Caenorhabditis elegans: one gene and its partner. The protein of the gene in region 1 purifies or fractionates together with the protein of each later gene. This does not show direct contact. Each region holds a gene or a part of one and is shown on either strand. Other genes may lie near its edges.

Evidence for each region.
Region 2: the proteins of osm-6 (region 1) and ift-81 purify together in Caenorhabditis elegans (affinity purification with mass spectrometry, with the first as the bait; one study listed by BioGRID). This does not show direct contact.

The regions. Positions count from the first base shown.
Region 1 is NC_003283.11:11,919,521-11,931,306, forward strand, and holds osm-6 (Intraflagellar transport protein 52 C-terminal domain-containing protein), read right to left. Parts: upstream 7,927-11,786; 5' UTR 7,887-7,926; coding exon 7,857-7,886; intron 7,809-7,856; coding exon 7,693-7,808; intron 7,311-7,692; coding exon 7,223-7,310; intron 7,145-7,222; coding exon 7,024-7,144; intron 6,975-7,023; coding exon 6,842-6,974; intron 6,754-6,841; coding exon 6,612-6,753; intron 6,565-6,611; coding exon 6,478-6,564; intron 6,366-6,477; coding exon 6,246-6,365; intron 6,201-6,245; coding exon 6,091-6,200; intron 5,667-6,090; coding exon 5,470-5,666; intron 5,425-5,469; coding exon 5,150-5,424; 3' UTR 5,101-5,149; downstream 1-5,100. Other genes in the region: R31.2 (ANK_REP_REGION domain-containing protein), read left to right, coding at 637-748, 793-865, 914-1,154, 1,208-1,439, 3,818-3,949, 4,217-4,486, 4,543-4,812; aman-2 (Alpha-mannosidase), read right to left, coding at 8,312-8,594, 8,646-9,396, 10,427-10,718, 10,770-10,947, 10,998-11,376; F58H1.2 (uncharacterized protein), read left to right, coding at 9,585-9,636, 9,719-9,994, 10,063-10,164, 10,216-10,358.
Region 2 is NC_003284.9:5,294,027-5,305,391, forward strand, and holds the start of ift-81 (Intraflagellar transport protein 81 homolog), read left to right. Parts: upstream 1-4,534; 5' UTR 4,535-4,605; intron 4,606-4,638; 5' UTR 4,639-4,669; intron 4,670-4,700; 5' UTR 4,701-4,723; coding exon 4,724-4,854; intron 4,855-5,447; coding exon 5,448-5,567; intron 5,568-5,624; coding exon 5,625-5,748; intron 5,749-6,020; coding exon 6,021-6,101; intron 6,102-6,188; coding exon 6,189-6,343; intron 6,344-7,107; coding exon 7,108-7,192; intron 7,193-7,429; coding exon 7,430-7,534; intron 7,535-7,592; coding exon 7,593-7,736; intron 7,737-7,743; exon of another isoform or gene 7,744-7,764; intron 7,765-8,565; coding exon 8,566-8,645; intron 8,646-9,447; exon of another isoform or gene 9,448-9,480; coding exon 9,481-9,552; exon of another isoform or gene 9,553-9,574; intron 9,575-9,814; coding exon 9,815-9,905; intron 9,906-9,948; coding exon 9,949-10,098; intron 10,099-10,926; coding exon 10,927-11,019; intron 11,020-11,234; coding exon 11,235-11,339; intron 11,340-11,365. Other genes in the region: ags-3 (Tetratricopeptide repeat protein 28), read right to left, coding at 1,553-1,656, 1,703-1,818, 2,614-2,737, 2,786-2,931, 3,539-3,674, 3,722-3,872, 3,928-4,000.

The DNA of each region.
Region 1 (11,786 bases):
CTCAAAAAGCTCACTCTCTCGCCCATGAGAGACGCAGAGACAGTTCATCACGTCAATTTATTTATTTTTTGAAATGAAGAGAGGCCGTGTTTCTGGGATCAAACGAAACAAAAATCGATCTAATTGTTTTCTACCTGAATTACAAATTATCTTTGGAAAACCATCATCTTGTGACGCAAAACAGGCGGACAGCCGTTGGTTCATCTGATAAAAGAATACACGAATCTGTGATAAATCCACGAAACTGAAGAAGTTAGTGGACTTTGTGTAAATTATAGTGGCTAACGAGAGTTGCGGATACCAACTGTTGTTGCGGGGAAATGATATCCACTAAGAGCTTTATCGTTCTCACAGAGTACCCTCTTGCACAAAGAGCAGCAGTCTGTGACTGATTTTTTAGGATCTTGTGTGTTTTGAGAGTGTGTCAAACACTCGGTCAGTTGAAGACTAGTGGCCAAGTGGGGTTGACAAGTTTTTTAAATGATAAATGCTTGATTATTCTAATAAGATAAAGCTTATGATCGTAGTTTTAGGTTGCCAATTTGAAATTAGGCTATTTTTTCAAATCAAAATAGTTTTCTTTTAAAGAAGCCAATTTTAAAAATTTCCTAATTATCACTATTTATTTATTTTCAGGACAGCTTTGCACTGGGCGGCAAATCGCGGACATTACGACGTCGTTCTCCTTCTTATAGAAGACGGATACGCTTTGAACGCAGAAGATAATAAGAACAGAACTCCATACGACGTTAGTTTTATTATTTTTATTCGCTAATTCGGATTATATTTCAGGTTTGCCCAGAAAGTAAAGACAAGTTGAAAGCAGTTTTAGAACTTGGAGAGGAACGTGAAAATATGGTTCGAAGTAAGATTTTTTAGAAGTTTTCCATTAAATTTCCATGTATTTCTTCAGGCAGTGCATCTCGTCGAACATCAGATGCCAGTGAGCAGTCATCTCCCGGTTTTGTTCCGAATTACGTTCGAAATCCACCGTTCCCATATGCTATGAAAAATTCATTTGACAACTTTTCAACACCGCCAGCTTCTTCTGTTTCAAATGGTTCAGGATCTCCAGGTCCACTCAATTCTCCAACTTACTCTTACGGAAGACGAGATTCATTCAATAAAACACGATTTTTGCTTGTCAGGACCAGGTTTGTAAAGTTACACTCTCAGAAAAGTAATGATATTTTTTTTATTATTTCAGCGTGGAAAAAGGAAAAGAAACATACAAACGAGTTACCCTTCCCGGCGGTTCAGACGTTGAACGACTGAAAACGACAATCGAAAAGGCTTGCAAAGGAAAGAAAGTCGATATGATATTCACATTACCGGAAAACGATTTAGTCGAATCAATTGATCAGATTCATCGCTTCAAAGATTGTCAGAAAATAGATGTTATATTCAAAGAAAATGATAGAGAATCAACGCCAATGGTGGTAAGTCTTTCAAAAGTTAAATGTCTTCAAAAATAATTTATGTGGTTACATAACCTTCAGAGTTGTTTCATTAATATATCCAGTAATTGCTTATTTCAAAGGTGCCGAAATTTTTTTTAGTAATTATCTAATTGAGTATTTAGAAATATTCTCTGAAATTTCAAAATATTTAGTGTACATTTGTTTAAACATTTTTTTTTCGAAAAACTTCTACATTGTTAGTTTTTCTCTATTTTCTGCTTCATTTTCTAATTTTTATTTCAAATCCCAAAATCTTCACCTTTAGAAAAATCGTCATAGTCTATAGTTCGTCGTTGTCTTCAAGTCATTTACCACATGTCGTTTCGCAACGAACAAAGCCATATGACATTTCCAATCACTGATAAAGTCATTCCACTGCCGCTCGAAACGAACAGTTCAGTTACCTCAGCACTAGTTTTTTCATTGGATTTCTGTCAACAATTTGTATACTCTTCGTCTCTTTCCTACACCTCAGTGTTCTTTTCTGTCCGGCTGCAGCCGTCATTTGACTGAGTGTACTTTGTTCTCTTTCTTTCTCTTTACATTATACCGCCCATGTGTCCTCTGAATCAATCATAGAATGGGCTCACGGCTTCATCCTTTTGTTTTACTTTTTTACTCATTCTTTCTGAAACTCTACGAAGAGATCTTCATAACATTGAACGCAGACAGTTAGAGCCATTCTAACCACCGCCCATGTTTTACTCTCTTTCGTTCTGCGTTCTATGTTTATCACAAAAATGCGCACACTTTCCCATATGTCTCATGTCTTCAATTCCTTAGATGTTAATTTTGAAATAATACTAAACACCAGAATACAGCTAGAATTTGATAAACTTTCAACAGACATGCAAAATAATTGCTACAAACAAATAACTAGACTTGTATAATATTGTTTTGAGTAGAGTAGATCAAATGTTTTCGAGGCGCTTGAAATTTTGAAACAAAATTACAAAGAACATTTGAAACCTCTATCCTATCCGTTTTTGCCCGCTCAAAATCTCTCATTTTTCAAAGATATATAGTTTTTCCTGTGTTCCTCCCTCCTTTTCAAACTTTCTGCAGCTCGAGATTTTCCCGGCCAGGTGCTATGAACCCGCTTTCTCTTCATTTTCACTTCATTTTGCTGTTCCTCCTCCCGGTGAGCTGCACTCTCATCGAATCCGGTTAATTTCTATTGGTTTCTGCCACTCTTTCTCTTATTCCGCCAAGTTTCACGTGAATAAGCGCGAGACAACATTGGCAGCTTCGTCCATATGTCTATTGTCTCCTATTCTTTCTTTTCATTCTAAATTCCTTTTTGCTTCTTCTCTATTTCTCTCAATGAATTTGTTCCCTCGTAGATCATAGATTCCATAGTTTTCCCTCGATGTTTTCCCAGTGATCATGAATAGAATTCTTATCAATTTGAAAGAAAAAAAACATTTATCTCTGGTTCGTTGACGATTTGTTTACTGATTGGGAAAAGCGCAATGTTTTGGAAGAAATAGGCGCGTGATGAAAGGTCGAAAGTGGTAGCAGTACGGCCAACCATCGACATTTGTTCGAATCGATCTCTTTAAAATAATTTCTGATCAGGTCTTGGTTTTTTGTCAACAAAAATAAAAGTGTTTTTATTTTATTTAAAATTTAAAAAGAATTCAACTTTGATGTTTTGCAGTACCATTAAAATGTTCAAAATTGTTATTCTATCGTTACTTTATTATTCGCCAATATTGTGGAATTAAATGTCGATAAGTTTTTGAAATTATTGATAGGCTTAAGTTTTTTGTACATAAAACCTGCAGCTTCTTTCGAGTTAAACAGTATCAGAAATTTCAGTTTCAGAATTTCAATTTGCTTCTAGAAATTCCGTCAAACAGAATCCTTATTTCACAAACTTTTTTAAAGTTATCGTTACGCTCTCTTCAAAAAATATCACTTATCTATCACGTCCATCCTAGCGTCATCACGCGTTCTTCTCATATTTCGTTTCCTACTAGCCCATATATTTTTTTGTTTTTTCTCTACTTCTGCCCTACTGTTGCTCTTTTTTCTATTATCTTCTTCTTTTTTCATCCGATTTTTCCGCAGTAGCATAGGCAGCGTAGGATATCAATACGAACAACACATCAATCTCACCTGCTAGTATCTCTATTCCGTCCTCTCTTCCACCAGTTATTCCGTGACTCCTTTCACTTTACTTGTACTATGTCGGATTCTGAATCTTCTGATTCCTCACCTGTCGTTCAACGTCGTAGACCATTCTCTATTCGATCTATTAATAGAACACCAAAGGTTCCTTTTTTGAAAATTACAGTTTACTGGAAAATTTTAATGAATATTTGTAATAAACTTTTAAAAATATATAATTTCAGACGGGTGACGCAGTCAACATGTCCGAAGAAAGAGAAGTGTCACCGAAGGATTTGGTCGTAGAAAAGAATTACGGACAAGAAGATATCGATATTCCAAAAAATGATGATCATGAGGAGCAGGAAGAACCGAGAGTGAGTTTTTTGTTTTCACCATCAAAATTTAAAATGAAACCAATATAGGAATGTTTTTTTTTTAATCGCGGTCGTGTGACGTTTTGGATATTTATAATTTTTTTAATTTTGTCTCACAAAAATCCAACAGAAAATCATGATTATCTTTTCGATAAGGCTACACTTAAAAATGGCCATTGTCCGAATTTGCAAATTGTCTTGTAACCTTTTCAAGAGTATATTTTTAAGTGGACGATATTTTCTCTAATTTATAGATTTTTGTTTCAGGCACCAACTCCAGCTGAAGATCTCTCCCATTATGTGAAAGAGCCAAGCCCACCAGTTAGCTTGGCCGCTACTGATTTGGATTCGAATAATGGTGCTGACGAAGGAAACGGAGAAGGGCACGATGAACCAAAATTGATTCCACTCACAACTCGTCAGAGTCTCGATTCGGATCCGGGAGATTTCGAGAAAGTTGACAAGGAAGAAGCTGCCAAGTTAGCTGATACTTCTCCAGCAGTCGCTGGAATTGCTGCAGCCATTCCTATCATATCTGTAAGTTTTCTAATATATAAACCGAAGACATGTACATCCATTCAAATGTTTTACAGGCCCAAGTTGAAGAGGAGCAGAATGATCCAACTGTTTTAGAATCAGAACATGAACCATCGTTTGTTCCACCAGCTTCTGCACACCAAGCTCCATCAACAAAAGCCACAGTTGTCGAAGAGTCGAAGCAAGTTCCAGAAGGACGCGAACCCAGCGATTTGGCCACGTGGATTCACAATAATCCAGACGTCGTCAGAAATGTGGCTGCTGCAGCTGCAGTTGCTGGAGTTGCCGGTCTTGGTTATTACGTCTACGTTAAGAAATTTAAGTAAACTTTAAGATTTCAATTAGTTTTACCCTATAGTTGATACATAGGCTTTCTAAACTCTAAAAGAATAGTCATGAAAAACTGAAATCTAATCACCATCCCAGTTCATACATTCTTCCTCCTCATCACGCCCCGCCCATCCACCGCCTGAAGTTACCCGGTATTCAGTGTATTCTTTAATCATCCAATTTCTTACCGTTTTCTTGTTAGATATCCCAATCATTTAACCATTTTCTTCTCCGTATCGGGTCATTTTTCATCGTTTCAATTGTGCCCACTAAAATCCAAAACGTTTTTTTTTCAACATGAATATTTTATTATCTTATCTCCAGACAAATCAATCACAAATCATCGAACTCATCAATATCAGAGAACAGCTGCTCGTCCATCTCTTCGCCTTGATTAAAACTTTGATGATGAGCATCATGCTCTCCAATATCGAACGCTGATGCAACTTCCAACTCTCCATCCATCATTGAACGTTTGAATAACATGAGTTTGCTCACTGCCAACTCAATTATTTTCTTGGGGGTTCGTTCACTTCTTGTCAATTCAGCAGATATTCCAGTAATTTCACCAGCTTTTTCAATAAAGAATATGAGATCTTCTTCCTCGCCTGAAACTATTCCATTTATTATTTTTTCTGAATAAAAACTCTTACTTCTATTTGCGAGCTGAGAAAGTTGAATTTCCGGAGAGCTGAACTGTTCATCAAGATCAAATAATTCAAGAGGAGGCATTGGTAATTCTTGAAATGTTGGTGGAAATACTGCAGGTTGAAATGGAGGCATTGGAAGTTCAAATTGAGGTTCAACAAGGGTAAGTGGTGGAGGTGAAAGATTCAATGCTTCATACAATCTAGAATAAAAATGTTTATTCAAGTAGAAATGATGTTTTACACTAAAACTTATTGTAAACTTCATTCTAATATTCTTTCCAAATATCGAAATAATTTCAAAAGAAGGACGCGGAAACTTGCGCCTTTAAATGCTAAAAATTTAAACAGTACTGTAGTGTGACACTACTCATTATTCTCTTTTGACTATTAGAAAACAGAGTGAGGTACTACGGTAGTTGTTAAAGTCGCACGCTCTTTTCCGTACTTTATTCGTAAATAATTTGATCGTGTCGAGACCAGCTACCGTATTTTCAGGAAAACATCGCAAAGTTGGTGATTGGGTAAAACCGTGTTTCCATTTTCGAAAGCATGATTCTTGAATCTTTTTCTTAGTAATAACAAACATATTTCTGTAGTCAGGGGAAAGTATTTAGGGCACAGTACCTTATAGTCATTGGCCAATGTTTCAAATTAAAAGAATGCAACGAAGTATCCATAATCTTCATGAAATCCGAACTGATTGCCTGATCCAATTCTCCTTCGTACATACAAACCTGTTTGTTAGTTTGTCTAGAAAGTATAATTTTTTGAAGTCAAACCTTGATCTGCTGGGACATATGAATATGATCTGGAATATTTGTGTAATCATTAATTTCCGGCTCTGCAGCATCTATCGTGTTCAGTTCAAGACCATTGACCAGGAATTCCACAAATGTATCCTGAAATTGAAATTTTCCAATAAGGCGAGTTAAGAGGCGGGTGGGAGGCGCATCCTGCACGCCTCAACCAACCGGGGAAGTTTATTTCGAACCATATCAAAAATACACTTACAAAAATCTTTCCATTTTCTTCCTTATCGATGTATGTGTCATGAAACATCGAGACTGATCCAACCACACACACTCTACCTTTCTTTTTCTGAAAATAATATGAATTAATGTACCAATTTCAGAATATTCTAATACCATTTCATTGAGTTTTGTCTCATGAAAAGCGGCAACTGGGCGACTTGTTGGAAAACTTGTACTTCCAGAAGACAATACTACATTCGACATACGATTATTCACATCTAGAGTACATCCATATGGATAAATGAATGAAAGTGCTCTGAAATATTGAAATCACTTTTTTATTTTTGGAAAATCGGAAACCGAATTTTGTCCTAAATAAATAAAAAGCTAATAGTTCAACTCACTGTGAATTATGTTTTTGCTCAGTGCTCACATTCTTTTTTGCAGCCACTGCAATTGCTCGATTTATGACTCCATTTGCTACTAAAGCTTCTTTCGGATCAAAATATTTCAGGAATACAGTACGAATTACCGAATCTTGAATGTTGATGATTTTTGTAATTCATTTAATTTGATAAAGACATACCCTTATTCACAGTAATTCCATATTTTGCAATCATTTCATTTAATGATTGTCTCTCACCACCTTCACCAGAAAGGATCATCAATGAACCACCTTCTTCCACAAACTTCCATATTGCTTCAATCTTAAATTTTAATTTTTTGGGTGTTAAAATTAGGCTGAGACAATCAAATGAAATTTAATAAAATTTAAAATCCTAAACCTCTCCAGTTCCAAATGATGTCTTTGGTTGTGGAATGATAAGCATCCGAACATCTTCTAATCCATTTAAGTTAATTGGTTCTGTGTTTCTGAATTTAAAAATTATTATCTATCTGCGAGAGAAATTCAAATTTGGCAAAAATTACGGTAGCAGGTCTCGACGCGAGCAAAACAATTCCGCGCAAAGGATTGCTCGACTTCGAGGAGTACTGTAGTTTCCAATATTTTGTTTTTTTCGTTTTATTTTTTATTTTTTAAATAGCAGCTTAATTTGTTCAGTATAATTTGAATATTTATTCCAAAGAATTCAAAATAAGAAAATGAGAAACAAAAATACAAGAAACCTGCTTCTTCGCAGGATCCGATTTTAATTCGTTTCGAGACCGGGTATCGTATTCTTTCATCATAAATCGTAAATCTTTCAACTATGTATTTAATGTATAAAATGTTAAATATTCCAAAAAAGCTCACATTTCAACAGTAAGAACACTTTTTAAATGTCTTGCCACACCACGAAAACCACTAATCAAACTAATTTGTTGCTGTTTTGATTGATCAATCAGAACTTTTCTCCCAATACTCCGGTTCTGGAAAATGGAAATAATAAAATGCGAAAACTAAAATCTAATACTTACAGTCATCTTTTCGTCTGAAAATGGAGGCATAGATGTATACTAATGAAGGTAATAGCTTGAAAGAGATATAAGCCCCAAGAGAGGGAGCAGACAATGTGAGCGAGAAGCAATGAGTGGTTACTATGGTAACATGTGGATACAAATCTTGGAAGGGTCTCCTGGGAAAGGAACTACTAGAGAAATATATAGTTAACTTTGTTTTCTGAAATTTAATGAATTCCGTAATAGACTCCTAATTATTAAAAATGCAATTTCATTTTTGAAGTTTGATGAAAGATGTAATTAATTTTATAACAATTTATTTGGAACGAAAAAAATTTTACATGAAAACCGGAAGTGTGAAATCGTTGTTTCATAATTACATCGTCTTATACAAGATTATAGTTAATAAATAAATACCCATGAAATGTAATGAAAACTGAAAATATAACTACTACATATAAGCAATTATAAAATTAAAATGATACAAGAATACTGGAAATATCGTTTGGTTGGAGTCGGAATTGTTCAGCCTTGTTTCCTTCATAAAGATTGGTTAGTGACGTTTTTTTCGCAGACTTCAGTGTCGAGATCAATTTGAGTGGCTCAATTTCTAATCCAGTAGCTAAGCATGACGTGTCTGGGAGGGTAAGCCTGGATCTACAGTCTGGAACAACTCTATGCATCACCATCGCTGCTTTCTTCTCAGCTGCCGTAGATCTTTCGTTGGCTTCGTAAGTTGTCGGCGATGCCAGTGTTCTGAAAATGATTAAAGATGAGGGTTACTGTAGATTTCAGATTTTTTAACACCTAAATGTCACTAGATGCAGGTCACAGTTCAGCTCTTGTTCCACATTTTTCGAAGAAATAGATTTTGGTGTTGCATCTCCAATCATTTTGACAAGAGGATAATGAAGAGACCACGTAGCGAGATGACCAACATGTGAATGGAATCCAACTCGTTCTTCCTTCTTATTACCACTCGATGAAGACATCGGCTCAATAACAATACGGAAATGTGCAACTGTTCGTTTGTTGTCTCTAACTCCTTGCTGAAGACCTCTGTTGTCATCTGAACTAAGTCGTCGATCAAGCATTATTTCAATTTGTCCCGACGAGAGACTGCTAACTCCGAGAGCCTGTGCCGAATGAATTGACATTCTGGTAGTATCGTCTTCAATGTAAACACCAGCAGACATGGGATAGAAATTGGCCTGTGTTGGTAATTTAGTTTGTCGTCTCCTTTTTATCATTTGCATTCCATTGAGATCAGTGAAAAACTCATCACCACTATTTACTGAAGAACTGAATCTCAGTGCCAACTCGAAATTCTCCTTGGAACGTACATCAACTTCATTATCCAAATCAATCCATGGAAGCCCTTGATAAAGTGTGTACGTTTGCAATATTTTCAGATCATTGTTTGGAGTTGCAAACACTTTTTGAACAACTTCTCCTTTTACCAATATCCAATCACTTGATTGTTTTTTGAGTTCTCTAGCTTCTCCATCGGGAAGGAACAGGTATGCGCCAGCCGGGTTGTCTTCATTTCCATTTGCGACTGAAAGAAAAACATTTTTAAAGCGAACAAAAGATTTGGAGGAAAAGCCTAGATTTTGAAGGGATGAGAAGTGAGAGAGTGAAGAGGAGTGAAGAACGGATGCATCTCTTGACCCAAATCGCCTTATTTCAATCACTTGTTTATCATGTCAACGGCTGATTTGTATCATTTCGCGCTTCTACGCAGGAATGGTGATGTTCTATGCAGCTGCAGTTATTCTAGCTGTATCCGCAGTTTCAGGTGAGTTACTGAAATATTTTGTTTCATAAACTGCACTAGGATGCGTACAAAATGATAAATATTATTTAATCCCTTATTTCAGCCGACCCATTTATTTATAACGTCTACTCATCTTCGGGATCTCGTTCAGGATATGGAAATCCTTATGAACGTGATGAAGTCTATATTCGTAGACCCGGAATGAGCGGAAGTTCATTCTATTCTGGTTCGGGTAACCCAATGATGTCGTCCATGGGATCAATGAGTTCTATGGGAGGATTTCAAGGATTACAGGGAATGCAAGGAATTCAGAGTATCCATAACATGCAAGGAATGCAACAGATGCCGTATGGACTTTCTAGCAGTATGATGGGAATGGGTGAGATTTAATACCTTGTGTGGAAATCACACATTATCCTAATAAAATCGGAAATTTCAAAACTTCAGATACGTATGGATCTAACATGTATAAGCCTCGTTTCGCTGCATCTGATATGATGATGGGAGGTGGTCAACCATTACTACTCAATGGATATCCAATGTACCCAAGTGAGTCAACAGATATCAATTCATTTTTATTAATTCATTAATGATCTTTAGAAACTTCTGGATACCCAATGGTGATTCCACTGGCCATGGGATCCTATGGATCTTCTCCTACAGTATACCAGGGACCAACTGTCTCTCGTCTTCCATTCAGAGCTACTCAACGCGCTGTTCGATCAGCCCGTTACTATTACTAACAACATTCAGATTTAATAATAGTTCTAAATATTCTAATAATCTTCAAATAATAAATCTAATTACTTACACTTTCTCTTTGACTTCCGTGCTCCATAATGAATAAAGTGAGAATTCAAATCAATTGGTTTATCATCAACAAGACTGGTAGCTCTTTTAATCATTCCATTTTCTCCATCAAATTCAGCTTCAACTTTGTCGTTTTTCACAGTAAAGTCTCCAGAAGTGGATGAAGATTTAAAACTTGTTTCTTTGAATTCTGCCGCATTATTGGTGATTATTTCAACTTTGGATGTTGTTGTATTTTTCACAAGTCTGAAACTGACAGACTCCATTGGTCCAAGTGATAACATGAAGCAAAGCTGAAAGACATGATTATATGGTCACTTTCAGGATAATCCTTTATAAATTACTTCGAATATTCCGTTTTTGACAACAAGCGTTTTCTTCTCTTCATCATATGCAATAACCGGCGAAACTTGTTGTTTTTTAATTGGAGGATCAGCTTCGACACCAGCGTCAAGAGAATCAACTTGAATACAAATTGGCTCGTTGCGATTTCTAGATAAAGTATTGAACAATACGACGTTTCTGTAAGAAATACAATTAATCAATGAAAATGGAGACATTAAAAAACTCACTGCCCAATTTTATAGACACGTTTTTCGGGTAGAAGGTTTTCATTAACTCTATGCTCATCCATCTGCATCTTATTCGTTGAATCAATTCCCAGCAATACAACAAGAGCTTCCGAAAGAATATCCTCACATGCGTTCAAAGCATCAATCATTTTCTGACCATAATCCAAGACGACGTGATCTTTTGCCGTACCAGTTACACCATCGTGATGTTGGAAAAGTGAAAGAGCTCGTCGAGCAGTCACAAGCTTCTCAAAAATTTTCGCTTCAACCATTCCTTCTTCTTCAATATTTGCAAGGGTAAAGGCGATTTCAGCTGATCTTAAATAATGTTGGAGAACCCGATCAAGCTGTTTATAGAATGGACGGGAAGTGAAGTATCCTGAAAATTCGTAAAGCGGTAAAAAATTTTGTTAGTTATTTATTTTTTTTCGTTTTTTTTGAAGTTGTTTAGCGATACATTTATTTCTCGCTTTTTTCAAAAAAATAAAGTGAACAAAAAAGCGAAAAACTTTGATATACTGAAAAACAGAAAAACTAGAATCTACACTTGAAATTATAAAAAGAGTACACTTTTGATACATAGATGTTTAAGTTTTTCAAAATTGCTTTTCAATCTTACAAAATGTTTTGTTTATTTTGTGTTTCGTGTTTGGCCAAAAAAATAATTGTTTGCTTTTTTCAAAAAAAAAAACAAAAAAAAAGAGAAAAAATCTGGAATATTGAAAACGAATAAAACTTTAAATTTTACATTTTTCCAAAAAATTACACTCGAAATTAAAGTTTTTCAAA
Region 2 (11,365 bases), on another chromosome or scaffold:
AAAAACAAAAGCGCACATACACACACACATACCACGAGGGCTGGCCAATGAAGAAAAAACACGAAAAAAACACAAGAACGAGGAGATGAGGCGACGAGTGGGAGAAAAACGATGGAAACATGAAGTGACGTGAAATTGGATGGTGATGGGAATGAATTGATTCACCCGGACTCCATACTTGATTTTAAATTCAAGAGTCTTCTAGTGTTTACAATCGGGTTGCAGCGGTTGCTCCGAGAGCACTGAAAATGAGATGGTTACCCACACCAGCACCATCACAAAAAGGAGAACAACAAGATGACAAAAAAGCTCGTCAGACAAAAATATTGGACATAGCATCACATTGGATTTTTTTCTTTTGGTGGTAACTATTCTAGAAAGGGTTGTTTTAAGATTCATCTATATGTGACAACAATCAAGAAAACTCGAAGATCGCAGTTTAGAAACATGGGCTCATCTTTGCTTAAACCAAGCTGGGGAGATGACTGAGCCAAAATTTTGTTGACAAAAATTATCGCTTATAAAACTCGAACGGAAAATTTAAATAGATTTTAGAAAAAAAAGAGTAAAGAAAACCCTAGTGTTCGTTATCAAATGTTACTTTTGCTAATACACCGAATATCCCTTTTTAGTTTTTAAATCAGAAGATTGAAATTGTATATATTTTTGAGAAAACTCAATTATTGCTGCTGATTCTTACATCGACAACATTAAAGTACAAACGATTGAAATACAATCAAAATTTTATCGCAAGCTCGTAGACAAATAGTTTTTCCAAATTACTATAGGTGAAGAGGGAGTTTTTACCACTTTTTGATTGAACATAAAATACTTTTAAATAACTTTCTGAGGTTTTACTATGTATTTGGTCATTACTTACAAGTAGTTTTTTTTAGATATTTAAACTTTCTTCTGCTAAACCTTGCCAATAAAAGTTCGAAAACTTTTATTCAAATTTTTTTGACGAAAAACGAAAACAAGCATAGAAAATAAAAACTGGAGACAGAAAAATATGAGAAGGTTCTGGTGTGAAAGGCAATTTGAAGAATTCAAGTGCAGCTGTAAATTCGAAAATTTTTCAAAAATTTTCTCAGAATGTCAGTTCAAATGACTATTATTATCGCGGAGCACAATTATACCCGAGAGTGTTTGTAGAATGAAGACGGAAATTTTAACATGACTTGGTGGGGTGTTGGCACGTTTTTTGCAAAGAGATATATGCGAAATTCGTTGGCTTGTTTATCAAATGATGCACAAGCGAATTGTCACATAAGATGTCATATGTTAGAGCTGACCAGCTGTTTGTGAACAGAACATAGAGTGAAAAAGAGCTTTCGAGAATGAGGACAAGTTGCCGGAATAAAGAAAAGAAGAGAACGTCATCAGAGCAAAATCTTGGTAGCAAGAAACGAAAAAGAAAGGAAAAAAGGCGTTATGACCATTGATGAAATTCAATAGCCATTACCCGTGGGTTTTGTGGACCCCGTCTTTTTTGCAGGATCTCATGTACGCGGCCAACACCTAACACCATATGCCACGTGACAACACGTACCTTTCTGGACTTCTTTACCAATGTAGAGGGCGTTGGCCAACGAGTAAGCCATTTGAGCTTCCTCTGTTTTGTTGCCAATCTCAATGGCCAGGTTGTAAGCTAGTCTGAAAAAAAAACATGCTGATTCAGATGTACAAAAAGATAACTCACTTATAATGCTGAATAGCCAGCGGCATGTTCGACTTCAACGCGTGACAATTTGCGATATTGGCGTGAGCGCGACGCATCGACGCTCGGTCTCCGTATTGTTGAGATAATTCAAGTCTCTGGAAAGAATGATTCACGAATTAGGTGTTGTTCACATGATTGTTTATTCAGGGTGTGAATGAGTCGCAAAACGTCTTTGACTTTTCTGACGTGAGTCTCAAGACCTGCTTGGACTTATTTCAAAGTAGAGAAACAAAAAATGAAAAGAAAGACAAGAGGTTTGTCAAAAGTTTCTCAAATTAAAAATTCAATCTGGCAAGAAGTAAAAGGAAGTGAATGCTCAAAACCCAACGTTCTATGATATATGTCCAGTTCTTTTTTCTTAGGTTTCTGTGTTCCTCAAATTTCATTATTCGAATAAAAAACAACATTTTCGCAGTCCTGATTGGCTTCATGTTTTTCTTTAGAAAAAAACAGGGACCGGGAAGTTCAGAGTATAACTGAATGATTTACAAATTCAAGGTCACACGCCCGTAGCAACTGAAATTTGAACTTTGTTGTTTGGTTGAAAAATGGAGAAAATTTTTTTTGAGAAAATTGGACGTCTAGCTTTCCTATTCACCTGACAAAAACAAACAGCGTTTTCTGTCTGTAATGTGATCGGAAATGAGCATTAGGTTTCGGAAACTCGATAATCACGTGGTGAAAGTAAAAAACTCCTAAGCTTGAAACTTGGAAAACGAGATTGGCCTTAAAAGGTAAAATAGAAATAAAAATATCCTCATAAACTTTTGATCTACGCGTTGAAGGCAAAAAAAAAACTAGATTTCCGGTTTGAACCACAAACCACGCGACATTGCATCATCACATCCGTTCCGAAAAAGGGTTCTTACGTATTTTCAATAAAAACTCACAAGTTTATGAAAGTGGATAGATTGGTCATAGTCTCCAAGGCAATAATAAGTATTTCCTAAGCTGCCGTAGCATCGCCCCATCGTCAGCGCATCTTCCGATTTTTCCGACATCTCCAGATTTAGCCTGCAAATTTTAAAATCTTTATTAGGAAGATTGAAGTAATGAACTCACATAAAGTACTTGGCAGCATTCTCAAAATCCGAAGTGGCTTCTGCATTTTTGGCGTCATTTTTCTCTTCAGCAGCTTCCAGTTTTGTGCATCGCCCTCGCTCCACATAAATCGTCGCAATGTTGTAATAAGCTCGAGATTTGAGAACCTGAATTTTTTAAATGGAAAGTGTAAATTATCTGAATGCAATTAGGAGTTTCATTCTTGAATAATTGCGTTGTGCCTTATTTTGAAAAGCTGAAATATTTCATAGCAATATTCACAGCTGCTTCTAACAAGTTTCTAGGCAAGCATTCTGGAATCTTTTGGAATATACATTTTTATTTGAAAACATCTGAAACTTTTTCACCCAACTCGATCGAGAAATGTTTCAAGCTTCCAGAATGTTTGCATACCTGTAAACTTTCCGAAAACCACTAGAAGTTCGCAAAAATCAACATTGGATGCAATTTCACAGCTCTATTAAATATTGATCCTTTTCAGATGGTTTTTATGGTAGTTCAACGTGCTCTTCTGCCGCTAAATTTTTTGTGGTAACCTAGTTTGCAGGTCCCCTTTCAAATGACATAGATTTCATTCAGAAGTCTCATTGTAGGCTGAAATACTTTCCTTGTAACTATGGTTTATGTTGGAAACTTCGAAGAAAATTTAAGATGGAACTTTGTACATGTTTGCTAGCACGAAAATAATAAATCTCCTGTTGGTATAGCAACGGGTGCATTTTTTTTTCAAGTACAAAATCAAGTTCTACTCACTCTATCGCCCAACTCTTCGGCAAAATCCAGCTGTTTGAATGTGAAGGTGAGCGCGTCGTTGTAAGCGCCTTTCATCTTGAATATATTTCCCAAGTTGGCACACGACTTTGCTTCTCCCTCCTTGTTTCCAAGCAATCTGAAATTTTGTTTATTTTTTGTTTAAATTTCTTTCGCATTCGTTACCTTTCAACAAGAATGTCATACGTATGGAACTTGAGAGCTTGCTCATAATCTTTAAGCATTGTGTGTGCATTTCCGAGCTGACAATAGATAGCCGAGAGTAATGAAAAATCATCTGTGCCTACTTCCAACGCTTTTTTCAACAAGTCGATGCCTGAAATATTCAAATTCAATCAATTATTTACAAATAATAATAAAAAAGAAGTTACCTTTCTCATACTTTTGCATGCGAAAAAGACGTTCCCCTTCCTGTGTGAGCTTGTAGCAGGAACGGTCCTGCATCGCACCTTTCCCCGCTGCAAAAAAAAAATCGATTGATATTCTTCGATGACAAAGATTTCAGAAATCTGCACAATACTAGAAAAAAGGAGAGAAACACAAGCGATTAAGATTGAGAAAGAAGAATCGAAATGTGGTCTTTCAGAACAGAAAGGGTGGTCAATGTAGAAAAAAAGGTATTTGAATGATTTATTCGAACGAGTACGGACCAACAAACTCCTCTGTTTGTTCGTTGCACGGCCGCTCTCAGTACATGGAAAGAAACGTCCTTGCTATGTCTGCGGCAGCTCTCTCGTTCACTCCTCACGACAGATGAGCTAGTAACCGCGCGTTGACGTCATTTGTGTAAAGACGGCTAGGAAGTATTGTTTCGAGCAAAATATTTGTTAATTTAAAATGACAAAGGAATATAAACTGATAGTCTTAAAAGATACATTACTCAAAAAAAAACTCTCATATGAAAAATATAAATTATTACCTTAGAGTATCAAAAGTTCACATTTAATTACCACTCACTCAAAACAAATCTCTAACCACAGTTAATTACCAACAAACTGATTCAACTTGTTCAACTTCTGTTCCCTTTTCAATACTACTTGAAACATTTCACACTCACATAGCAAAGAGCCCAGCAACAACATATATTTACGTCGTGTTGCCCTGGTAACCGGGAGCGCTGCTCGACGAGCTCGCGTTTATTGTCATCACTAACGGTGTATCCTTAAGATGTCGAACGATATTCAAGGGTTTATTCTCCACTTTTTGAATGAAGAGCCGTTCAATCTCAACTTATCATCACTTCAATTCGACCAATTACCACCGCAGCAGTTGCTCCAAATTTTGAGTAATGTTTTGAGGTTGGTTAAGTCAAAAAAAGAAATTTAAAAAATGCGATATCGAGAAAAAACAGTTATGGTGTTTAAAATATTCACAAAAATTTTCCAGAAACGTGTGCTACATTTTTTGTGACAATTAAAAAACAGCTACTTTATTATTATTGTATCGTTATTTTTTCAAGAATTTTTCAAAGAAATATAAATAAATTTTTTTAATTTCTAAAAATAGCTTTACCTTTAATTGTACTTTTGGATGTTGCTCAAAAAAAGGCACAAAGTTACAATGTGCGTGTTAAATTTGCTGGTTGGCAAACTGATACTAATGTCAGTTTTTGAGCAATCTTCTTAAACTTTCTATTGAAAGTAATTATTTTATAGATTGCTGTGTAAATTTAAAAAAAATTTGACACAACAATAAAGAAAAGGGGTATCAGCAGGTCCACTTGGGTAGAATGTTCAAAAAATTCGGTTCTTTCTTATTTGTTTGCAAAATTTCAAAAGTCATAAAAAAATTAAGAAAAATTTGAATAAATTTTTTACAAACACATAAATGCTCTCACTGATAAAATTGAATTTAATAATATAAGAACAACGAAAATTTTTAAAATGTTCAGCTGGGTTTCCGACACGGACCGAATTGATATCAAAAGAGAGGCTGCTGAAGAGACTGCAATTCGTATTCTGAATATGCTCCGAATTCTCCGCTACAGACCACCGCAAGACCAGGATGAACAGTTCGTGCAAAACGAGGGCAATCACTAAACAGCATCTAATTTGACATTATATTACAGGGAAGAATGGCGTGCAGGGATTGTCGAAGGTCGCAAGACTAGCCTCTATCCTCTTCTGGTTTTTCTTTTTGAAAACTCAGAAGGTTTGAAAGAGCGCGCATATTTGTCAAAATATTTGATGAAGGTAATGAATTGCTATGCCAAAAGCCGACATGTTATGCTAGTGGTTTCTGGGGGGAGAGAAATAGATGTTGTCATTATTTTTTTTAAAAGAAAAATGATACATAGAGAACAAGCATCGTTCTGCTTGAATAGCTGATATAGTAGGCAAGACAGCCGAAGTTTTTGGTTTAGTTAGTCTCTGATCTAGGTACACATTGAATTAATGAATCAAGAAATGGCTAAACAGCTTCGCACTTTTTTGTAATTGGAAATACGTAAATTAATTATTTTCAGACAGATGTACCTGGAGAATTCTTCGATTATGATATTGAAGAGCTGCAAAATGAGATTGGAGAGTTGACAATGGAGTTTAAGGTTAATCACATGAGAGATTAGTCGTCACGATAGTGGATGAGCAAAAAAAAAGCAAAAACAAAAAAAAACAAAACAACTTTTCTACAGGAAATCCATGCTGAAATGAAAGGAATAATGGCAGACGTACTCTTGCTTGATGACATAAAAGAGGATTTAAAGTCAATGGAAAAAGAAAAACAAATTTTGCTCCGAAAGATTGAGAAGACCGAGAAGAAAGTGCAGAATATACCATATTTTGATAAGTAAGTTCAAATAATGTGAAAACTTCAAAAAAAAATTGTTCAAAAATAACAGGAAAATGTAGTCAAAATTTAATTAATTACTTGTTTTATGCGAAAAAAAGGAAAATTCGTTTAACAATAGAAAACTAATAAAAGTTTTCACTGACAAGTGAATTTGCTATCTGAATTCATCGTGTTAGAAAACCTCAGAAAAACTGAAAAAGCCCGGCAAATGAGCTCAGATTTTTTTCTTTATTTTTTTTGATTTTTTTTTGAAATTTGTATTTTGCCTGATTTTACATATTTCAAAACATTGAAGGTAAAAAAACAGCTCACTTGAAACTTTAGAGCTGTAAACTTTATAAGCTGATAAGATGGATATTTCCGATCATTCTTGTTAGTTTCTAACACATTTACATTGCTAATATATTTTTAAAGCAATTTTTGAGCAAAGCTTTTGGCCTGTATCGGTATTGCTTTTAAGCTCTGGTTTGACTCATTGTCAAAAAAATTGAATATAAGGCTCATATTTTTACTACAAGTACGATAAAGTCTGCTTCAATCATAATTAAGTAGAAAACAATAAATTTACAAGCTTTTTGCTAAATAACGAGCGCTATGCAAGTGCAGATAGAAATTTGCGGAAAATTGTCCGTTTTTCATATAAACGTAAGTAAGGGAGTTCTTTAGCGTAAATTATAAAAATAAAAAATAAAATAAAATGAATTTAGTATAAAAATAAAACATAAATTTTGGCATTTTTCAAAATAGCCAATCGTTTTCAGACAAATGCAACTTGCATTACAATTACGCGGAGAGAAAACCCGATATGCAGATTTTGCAATTGAAAAACAACAAGAACGGCAGAAGGTTGGTTCTTTGGGAATTCCATTTTTTTATCTCAAAATCAAAAATAGACCGAGTGAAATATTTTCCTTTTTCTTTATCTCCGACGTAATTTTTTTTTGCTCTCCTGACAAAAAATGAAAGAAGAAGTACAGAAATAGCGAGTGCAATTTTTTTGTTCTCGAGTGTGCGGCTTCTTCCTTCTTACTGCGTTTTTTTGGCGCAGCGAGCATCAAAAATCAGAAATTCTTTTCTGTTTAGGTCCTGAACATCGAAGCCAGAATCAACCGAATGAAAATCAATTTGACGGAGGCTCAAGCGGTCGCTGACACATTGGATGAACAGGCGTTAATGGAAAAATTAGAGGTTACTAGACTTATTTTTCTCGTCTTCTCCTATCTAATGACGACAGAGGGTTTCTTAGGACGAAGTTGCGACGAACACTTACTTAGTGAATGGCAAGTTGTTTCAAGAAATTGAATCAAAGGAAAACAAGTTGAAAGAGCTGACAGCCATGGCAAGGTCCAATTCAGTGCGGGAAGAGGATGTCAGTAGAATGAATTCTGAGGTAAGCTTAAAGATACCAGGCTTAAAGATCTCTGCAGATTTAACTTTGGGGAATTTTATGATAAATGTGCAGCCGACAGTATATATGCAACACTGACCTCACGTTTTAATTAAATTACCATTAAAAAAGGAATTAATGCTATTGGAGCACGGCTACTACACAGATACGTTGCCCGAAATACAAAATTTCGAAAGCAAGTTGTTAGCGAAAATTAAAAGTTTTAGCGGGAACTTCAAATTTTCTGGGAAAAAAATTTGGCGAAAAATTTAAGTATTCCGAAAAATTTTTTCGCGGAAATTAAAATTTTCTCGGGAATTTTTTTCTGTGGGATTTTCAAATTTTCTAGGAAAACAAACTTGGCAATAAAGTTTTTCTGAAAAAAATTTTGATAGGAAATTCAAATTTTTTGTAAACAAAAATTAGCGGGAATAAAAACTACATTGATGTTAAAAAACTGCTAGAATGATTTTGCTATTTTTGAAAATGTATACCAAATTTAACAAAAAAAAACATCCAAAATAAAATTGTCGCCCAGCTTAAACGTGGCTGCACTTTTCACTTATTTCCAAGGTGATTACAAAATTAAATGATGTAATTACAGAAAAAAGTTGTATGTTTTAAGAGTTAAAAGCTATTCAAAAGCTTTTTTCAAACGTGGGCAAAAACAAATAACAGAGCCAAAGAGCGAAACAATGGCTTCAGACGTCAGAGAGACGAAAAAATTTTCCAATTTTCGTCTGACCAAAAATATGTTAATTGTTTACTCCCAAGTCATCTTAAACATGGCTGATCAAAGCATGAAAGAGTTATTTTTAAATTCATCATTCAGATAGAGGAAATGTCAAAACGAATTCGAAAACTAGAAGACGAACGGGATCACAAAGAAGTGGATATTGATGAGAACATGAGGTAAGTGCATGCTCATTTTGGTCTAGATGTTTTAAAATTGTGCTTGCTGAAAATTTCAAATTTGTTGTTGTGTTCTTTGTGCAAAAAATATGAAATCTGGTCTGGTTGCTAATGAACAAGGAAAGGCAAATCTAAAAGCGGACAGTGGCATCACTCGGTTTAAAAACATGTGGATGATGATGGTTGCTGCTAAGAGACACAATCTGCGTATTCTTCTATGAGTGTTAGATATTTATTTAGAAAAGAAAATGAATTTGTAAGGGATGCTTCGACAAAAAACTTTAAATTTTTTTATCATTATTAAAAATAATGAAAGTAGTGTATCTTTATTGCGGATTTCGTCTTAAGACACATAATTAACATGACCGAATATGAGCATAATACTCTCAAAACTAAAAAAAAGATTTTTAAAAATTTTCTGAATTATAACTAAAATTTGAAAACTGTGGAACAAATTTTTGTTGACTTTCATTATTAGGACGGAGTTTTTACCATTTTTTGACTGCTCGGAAAATTGTCCTTTTTAGAATACTTCCACTATGATATTTGGTAATTTTAAATTTATTTGGGTAATGTTTAAACAAATACCCACTGACGGTAATCCCTCTTTAATACGCTCAATATAGATCCAAGGTATTTAACTTCCTAGTTTTTTGTCACTTGTTTTTTTTTAACTCGGCATTTCTAGAGCATTTCAAGCAAAACCAGGTGATGAACTTAAAACTTGTGAAATTGCGTTTATCGTATTTTTCCTATACGTAAAACATTAGAATATCTTTTTTTATATTTTCCCAAAACTGACCTTTTTTCAAAAAAACATATGAGGTGTTTTCAGTGTGTTTCGTCATCAAACTTCCCTTCTCGAACGCAAAAAAGAAACAGCGGTGCAGAAATTGCAAGAATTGAGGTAAGTGAGTGTAGATGGGCTTCTTCTCTTTTCGGCTTTTTTTTTCCAAAACGTCCTATTTATTCCACTGGGAGTAGGAAATTGAAAATGGGAAAAAGCGAGAAAAGTGATGGGATTTCAACATTTGATTGACCCCATTTCTCAATTTCCTCAAAAAAAAGATTAGCGAAACCACTTTATTCTTAGAAAGTTTGCAAAAAACTGCAAGAGTTGAGGAAATTAGAAGCTACCGTATTTGCGACCAAATGGACGTGACTTTCAGGCAAGAACTTGCGAAAATTGAGAAAGATGTCGATGAGCGTAAAACCAATCTCAAAGACAAAGTGGGCGGGGAAGTTGTGTCAAATGTTCAGGTGAGGCGAAATAATTTGTAACAGTATAATACTATTTTTTCAGTACCGAAAATATTTAGAGCAATACCGTGTGAAAAGTGAAGAACAAAAAAAGAAAAGGAAGGAAATTGAGTTGATGCATACCGAGGTGGCAGTGCTTAAAAGAACAATTGACATTGTTTCCAAAAGATACAATAAATTGGAAACGCACATTGTGAGTTGCGTGATTGTTGAGTTGAATGTTGAATAGAAAAAAAAACGCGAAACGGCAAAAATATATTTTGGAATTCTTGAAGTTTTTAGTGATCTTTTTCCAGATAGCTGTTTAATAATGAAAAAAAAACTATTTGTGCATTATCAACATCAAACTTTTAAATGTATCAGATACCTCTGCTAACATATGGCAGTTTATGTAATCTCTCACTGAATTATAATAGCAAAATTTCATTCAAATGTATTTGTAGTTACGGCAATCGCTGTTTGATATTACCCAATTGTCGATTGCCAAGCATTTTTTGATTAAAAATGCTGATTGTCAAAAATTAGAATTGCCGAAACTGTGATGATTTTCTACAGTGCTGCGTATGGTAACATATTTACAAACGCTTAACGATACTGATAGAAATAATCACCATTTTTAATTTATTAAATACGTTAACTGCATAAAATTTGAACTTATAATTTTAATTACTTTCCTATACCTCCTGGAATCAGAGAACAAATTCGACCAAGCTCCGCGAATCATTTTTTTCACCATTGTTGCAGAGAGAATAAACAGTAATTCACTTTTTTGCAAACTACTTCCAGCAAGATCAAGTGGTAGGATCAAAGCAGAAAAAACGTGTGTCATATGTATTTACTCACACCTTTTTCTAAACTACTTTGCTACACGAAATTGACACACCTCTCCTATTTCAACAGACAAAACATGTAACAGTTTAATATCATATTTCAAAGTTTACTAATCCAAATTATTTTTATCCTGCGTTCCCGATTTTGCAAGATTTCTGTGGTTTATGTGTCTATCTAATCTTATTTCCAGGAAAGTATTGGCGGAGAAATAGTAGAAGTTTTGAATGTTCCAACGAAATACGATCGTCCGAAAACTGCAGCTCCGCAAACAAATAATGCAGAGGTAAGATAGGGGGGTTTTTTTTTGAAGAAACTGACTAAACTCTTGGTTCAACTTTAATCCAAAAATGTCTCTAAGGTACTATTTTTATTTTTTATGTAATTGACTGAGACATCAAAGTTTTCAAAGTGAGTTTGGAGAATAAGAGAACATGCAAAAGTTTAGATTCAAAAGAAAAAGTCGAACGATAGTTGTAAAGTTTCAAAATTTGAATTAAGGACATAAAATCGGATATGAAAGACATGATGGCTGCACTGGATGAACGAAAAGATAAGATAACAGATCAACGGACAAAGAGAGACGAGGTGAAGTATGTTGTGCAGGTAAGTGACAACTTAATTGACAGATT